2 linked regions of the Kluyveromyces lactis genome follow. The protein of the gene in region 2 interacts with the protein of the main gene of each other region in a biochemical or structural test. Links are inferred from orthologs where the notes say so. Each region holds a gene or a part of one and is shown on either strand. Other genes may lie near its edges.

Region 1 (3,251 bases), on a different chromosome or scaffold from region 2:
GATTTTCATGAGAAGCATGTTATCAGTCGACACGATTTACAGCCAAGGTCCATCCATATGCCGTCGATGATCCATACTCAGCCTGTCCATTTGATTCACGTTCACAATTTGAAATTTTTACAGACGAGTTTTGAAGAAGAAGATGAACAGAGAATTATTTGTTCTTCTTCTACACCACCTTCACTGGCTGACACAAGACACAGTTCTGTTTTCTCTTCTACAAGAAGTATCAACGTGTTACTGGAAGAAGACGAGCAAGATTTGGACAATGACTTGCAGTGCATGGCTCCAGTGAAGAAAAAACAGCAACGTGCATTGGTGGCACCCATCATGTTCTCCTCTTCATCTTCAAAGAAAGATTCGGTCGTTTCGGAAAAGGATCAGTTTGTTTACACGCTAACTAACAAGTTACTACCTTATTTTGGGTATTTCTTGGCTGATTCTAACGATTTGGATTATTTCGATAAGATTAGATTCCAAGAAATTGATTACAAGTTCTCCAAGACGTATTTTTGATGGAACAATCCTCATCCTTTTATCCAGATATTATTTTTCCCCCTTTGCTATAGACTGCCTGTATGATACACCTGCATATTTTTTTCCTTCTTCATCATATTTCTTACATTCATTCCTTTCTAATTCTCTACTTCATTTCAAATTACCTTCCATTTTTTTTTTTACTTTGTTTCTGTGGGTGCGGACACAAGGTGACCATGTTTAGTCAACCTTACAGGTCCCATAAACACTTCAAAAAAGAACATTCACTTCTCAATTGCAGTTTACAATCGACTTTTTTGAACATTCATTCTCAACAATGTCTGACTCTTTTCAACACATTAAAGACACTCACTCGCCTGTAATGTTTGTTTCCTCTGTTGTTTTCTGTCAATTTTTTTAATTAATTCACACTTTTACTCTGAAAAAACAGGACAAAGTATTATGCTTCGTCAATAAGATGCACTTTTTTCTTTGGTTTCCCTTGTTACTTTTCCATATCTTTAATTCTTACCATCGCATATTCTTTCAAGTTCGTTAACATCGGAAATCGATACTGTCCGCAACATGCACATCTAATTCTTCTGTAAATCATGTATTCTCATTAGCTACACATTTAACCCATATTATACATTCCGTCCAAACAAGCTGAGTCGCTGTCCGCTGTCCGGTGACAGATATTCATTAGAAATGTTTGTCATTGAATACGACAATAATTTACCCGGATATGCGTCGATTTAACAGCATCATTTTGGTAAATCTTAGCATTGAGAGTTAACTATTAGTTGATTTCTATATGAGAAGAAGAACTATCTTCCTGTTAAGATACCTTTTGGGTTGCGCAGCCTTCCAAACTTTCCAAGCATTTATTGATAAATCTTCTACCAGTCCACGAACGACATATAGAAACGAATCGTTATGAGCAGTGAGGATGAAGACGATAAGTTTCTATACAGCGATGAGGAGGATTCTAACGTAGTCGCAAAGCAAGAGGGTCCTGCATTGAAAAGACAAAAGGTCGAAGAAACACCCAAGATACTAGCTCATGATGTACCGGAAGGTAATACGAATGAGGTAGAGAGTGAGGCCTCCAATCAGGATAGTTCATCAGATGAGGATGACAGCAGTGACTCAGATTCAGATGTTGAGATTATCATCGGAACTGGTAACGATACCTCTAAGATAGATTCTGGTAAGTCCCAGATATCTGCTATAACAGACACAACGCCTCTTGGTACAGCGGATCATGCTATTGCAGCAGTGGCTGGTATATCGGACGTGGTTCCTGTACAGGAGGGTTCAATACCACCTGAACAGCAGCAGCAGCAACAACAAACTATTGATTTGAACCCGGATGCACAATTCGATGGGAAACCTATAGTACAGATCGATCCAGAAATTCTAAAGGAGAAGCCCTGGAGACAACCAGGAGCGAATATTTCAGATTATTTCAATTATGGATTTAATGAACAGACTTGGATGGAATATTTACATAGACAAGAACATTTGACGAAAGAATACAACCCACAAAAGATTTTGATGAACCTCCTAGCTTTACAGCAGCAAGGAAAGTTAAATGATCCAGGTTCAGGACAACCTGTACAGAATACAATCCAACCTCCTCCTCCGCCTATGGGACTTCCCCCCATGTTTGGTGGTTTCCCAGGATTTCCATTTCCGGGTATGATGAATAACATGCAAAATCAAAATGTATCAAGCATGAACAACATGAACAACATGAACAACATGAACAACATGAACAACATTAACAACAACAACAATAATAATCTCAACGACAAGAAATGAAATTTAGTGCTTGAGGCTCGTATTGATTGCAAGCAACATTAATGATATATAGCGGACATGTACATGTATTTTCGATTCCTTGATGGAATTGTAACACAGCTTAGTTTTAAAGACCTCATGTTGACATTTGTTATAATTAGAGAAATGACATTAATATACTATACTTCAAAAAAAATGGCAAAGACAAACTATATATCTGAATACTATAACAGTTTAAAAAGTAATGTTGTATTGTTCGTTTTCAAAAACTCTTTTGATCCATGGTTGATGGAATTTATTCAGTTCAACAACGCTGGTCAAAATTTCAACCCATTGTTGTTTTAAAAGATTAGAATCAGCGTTAAAATTTATAACTTCATCATTTGCAAAAAGGAGTTTGAAGCAATCGCTGAAAAGTACCATATCAGTAAAGTTTCTCATTTGTTTTCCAGTTGCCGTTTTACCATCAGAGTATATATCTACTACGTTTAGAAGATTCAACAAAGTTTGTGGTTTTCTGGTAACTTCGTCATGAGCTATAAGTTCAGTGCCTTTCAAAATCATATATCTTCTTTTCAACATTCCCTCTACATCACCGCCTTCTTGCCACAGGAATCCTTCATTATTGACCCTTTGCTGTTCAAGATACTTCTCGCAACACTTCTGAACTGCCTTCAGATTCTTTGGGAATCTTTCCATGGACGAAGTTCTTGGAAGATACATCACATCAACTGTAAGAGAGCAAACCTTAGATGGATTTTTCCGAGGAAGTTTCCATAATTCGTCTTCTTTATATGTTTGTGCGATTTTCTCATCAAATTCGCGCTCCCATTCATTGAGGAATTCAAAGTGTAGCTCATTTGTTTTGTATTTGATTTGTTTCAGCATATTTTTATTGACATTTACCTGGCAGCGTGCAAATGAACCATCCTTTGCGAATTTGAAGTCCCAATCGTCATATTTCAATTTCT
Region 2 (3,349 bases):
TGTACTTCTTGAAAGTCAGGTCTTCGTAAACAGTTTCAGTAGTGTTTCTACACAGTCTTGGATCGATTCAAAACTAATGGGTTCAGTTTCTCTGAGTTCGTCTCTGAAAGCGAATTCAGACGCCTTGTACGTCATCTTGTACAATTTTTCGTGTTGAGTTCGATGAACTCCTCGTAGCCTGAGTCCTGAAAGTATGCACTGAGACAGCAACGACATAAATTGCTGCTGTTGATCGTTGAGCAAGACTTGTTTGTTCAACGAGTTACTTTTCAGTATTCGCTGACGTTTGTTCTTCTCTAGAATCGATTCGATCGACATCGTTGCTCCAGCGTTACTTGGCACAACAGATTGTAGTTCGTCGGCTGATAACGGTATCAATTTCTTATCAAGTTCGTGTTTAGTCGATAAGTGAAGTACCATCGATTCAATTTCGAAAGACGCGTTTATATCGGTCTTCAAACGCTTGTAGAATAGGAAATATTCGAATTGCTCTTTCGTCAACACTTGGGATCCCGTTACTTTACATACAATTCCTCGATTCCTGTGTCGTTGTCTCATCAACTTCGCTCTGAAATAATTGACGCTGGTCTCGCTAGTAGTGAAGCATTGGTACCGTTGACCTCTATTGAGCCAAAACGGCAGCTTATCAATGTTGACCATTCCAACAACTTCTGCCAGACAATTTTTCACTGCAATTTGGCCATCACCGTCCTCAAATTCACGCCACAACTGGACGTCTCTTATCACAGTGTTATGACCCACATTAAGCCTCAAGATAAGTTCTTTTTCTAGTGTCATAGGTTCATCGCGCAACTCTCCAGGTCCAATTCCCCTAATACCAGGCCTACCGAGGTCTTCTTTCACGTTTGCTACTTTCACTTAACAATTTGAAACTGACCAGACAATGTATTCACCTCCTTTATAGTCTTAGTTTCCCTGTATATGAAAGTCCGCCGTTGTATTGTGGTTCACGGTGCAAAAGCTTAGCTTATATCCATTGTTACCATACGAATCTTTTTTCTCTCGACGCTTTCACGGCTCCAAACAAAATGCTTTCAGTTTTCAACATTGAAATAAAGTGAAGGCAAAGAAAAAAAATGTTATTGCTCAACGTAATTGAACAATAGACAGCCAGAAGTTGGAAGTGGTTAGAGACTACAGAGGCTAGAGAGTACCGTTTTGGATCACATCAGACTCTAAGTTTTGAAAACGGGAAAAGGGAGGTCATCTCTTTTTTTTTTTTGATTTCCTTCTCATCATGTCGACGTTACAACCTTCTGCGTTGAATAAGAAGAGCAAACGAGTTTATAGCGTTGCTAGGGTGTATCAGGATGCTTGTGAGAAACGCCCTCAAGAGTACTGGGATTATGAACAATGCGTGATGATTGATTGGGGTAAGATTTCGAACTATGAAGTGATAAAAAAGATTGGTCGTGGTAAATACAGTGAAGTTTTCAAAGGGAAATCTGTATTGAACGATATACCATGCGTCATCAAGGTTCTCAAGCCAGTGAAGATGAAGAAAATTTATAGAGAGTTAAAAGTGTTAACTAATTTGACAGGGGGACCTAATATAATTGGATTATTGGATATTGTTCAAGATCCAGGATCCAAAATCCCGGCATTGATCTTTGAAGAGGTGAAAAATGTCGACTTCCGTACGCTTTATCCATCGTTTACATTATCGGATACGCAATTTTATTTCACACAATTGTTAACTGCTTTAGACTATTGTCATTCGATGGGTATCATGCATCGTGATGTGAAGCCTCAAAACGTCATGATTGATCCTAATGAACGTAAGCTAAGGTTGATCGATTGGGGATTAGCAGAGTTTTACCATCCGGGAGTGGATTATAACATCAGGGTGGCGTCTCGTTATCACAAGGGACCTGAACTCTTGGTGAGCTTAAACCAATACGATTACTCTTTAGATTTGTGGGCTGTCGGATGTATGATAGCAGCTATTGTTTTCAAGAAGGAGCCATTTTTCAAAGGAAGCACGAATGCAGATCAATTGGTGAAAATTGCCAAGGTACTTGGTACGCAGGAGTTATTCTATTACTTGAAACATTACGGATTGGATCTTCCTGCAGAATACAACGATATCATGAAGAACTACGAACGGAAACCATGGAGCTATTTCGCCAATGATAAGACGCCGTTGGCTGTGGACGAAATAATTGATTTGATCGACCATTTACTACGTTATGATCACCAAGAGAGATTAACTGCAAAAGAAGCCATGGAGCATAAATTCTTCAAAAAAGATTTCTCATAGTGTATGCCTAAACGGTAATATATATCTGTTTTCTCATCTCTCTATCATCAAATTTTCTTTTCCCTCTTATCTTCCATTTATGGTTAACTTTGGGGGATTCTTCTTCTGTCTTTGATTGCTTTCCAATTAAAAGCATGTATACTAATAACATATAATTAATACAACACCTGAAAAAGAGGACAGAAACACATGTCTCTTTTGCTTAAGATTTAAAGAAGATGTAATATTATGATAGTCGTTAATTCATTAAAAAGGATATATAATTAATAGGTGTAATAGCTACCAAACCTGAAAGAAAAGGCTCTTACTAGCGCAGGCGCAGAGAGAGAGACACTACTATAAGTAGGAAAGGAAATAGACCAAAGGAATATGAAACAGGGTGGAAATAGTTACAAAAACCCATGATCGAAACTATTATTGCGGTGAAAGTTCAGTGATGAGAATTGAAAATGCCATTATTATTAGTCTATATTTCTCAATCACAGGGAAAAAAACAATCTTTTGGTATCAAATGCGTAAAGATCCCAGACCTTTGACGGATTTCGTGTAGTATGCTGTGTTAGTGGATGGGATTTTTTAAGAGGTCAGATTTCTTGGGCGAGTCAGATTACAGTTCCATTTCGTAATCTTCATCGTTTTCCTCGTCACTGTCGTGGACATCAAGAATGAAGCAATCCTGCCTCATAATCATTTCGTTGGCCCATGTATCGTTGATGGCACTAGTTCCATCATAAATGACACCACTATGATCGATCTCTCTTGTGCGAACACTATCATCGAACCTTATGTTCTTATTGTTCGAGTGGTGGGAGGGTGGAGAACCGAAGCCAGAAGAATTAGTCTTTACCAAAATAGGCTTGCTATTTTCAAAGATGGATGAAGCATCTGAATTGGTTGGGGAAGAAGAGTAATTGTTATACGATTGAGAATAAGACTCCAAGTCGGAGTCCATGTCCATAGCAGAGAACATAGAATCGGGTGACGATTTCTTCTTAGGAATCAACTGAGTAGCAGCAACACAATCATCCGATAACTGAGGCCCATATAGTACAGTCATATCATTTTCCT

What was found.
Region 1: of the proteins of CKA2 (region 2) and FIP1, one has a biochemical effect on the other in vitro, tested with the Saccharomyces cerevisiae proteins (4 studies listed by BioGRID). The link is inferred for Kluyveromyces lactis from reciprocal best matches to the Saccharomyces cerevisiae genes CKA2 and FIP1.

What each region holds. Positions count from the first base shown.
Region 1 is NC_006041.1:534,342-537,592, forward strand, and holds FIP1 (cleavage polyadenylation factor subunit FIP1), read left to right. Parts: upstream 1-1,413; coding exon 1,414-2,301; downstream 2,302-3,251. Other genes in the region: transcription factor IME1, read left to right, coding at 1-516; BUD4 (Bud4p), read right to left, coding at 2,515-3,251. UniProt on the Saccharomyces cerevisiae protein: Polymerase-regulating component of the cleavage and polyadenylation factor (CPF) complex, which plays a key role in polyadenylation-dependent pre-mRNA 3'-end formation and cooperates with cleavage factors including the CFIA complex and NAB4/CFIB.
Region 2 is NC_006042.1:1,518,542-1,521,890, forward strand, and holds CKA2 (casein kinase 2 catalytic subunit CKA2), read left to right. Parts: upstream 1-1,258; coding exon 1,259-2,281; downstream 2,282-3,349. Other genes in the region: SLD7 (Sld7p), read right to left, coding at 16-798; KLLA0_F16489g (uncharacterized protein), read right to left, coding at 2,889-3,349. UniProt on the Saccharomyces cerevisiae protein: Catalytic subunit of a constitutively active serine/threonine-protein kinase complex that phosphorylates a large number of substrates containing acidic residues C-terminal to the phosphorylated serine or threonine.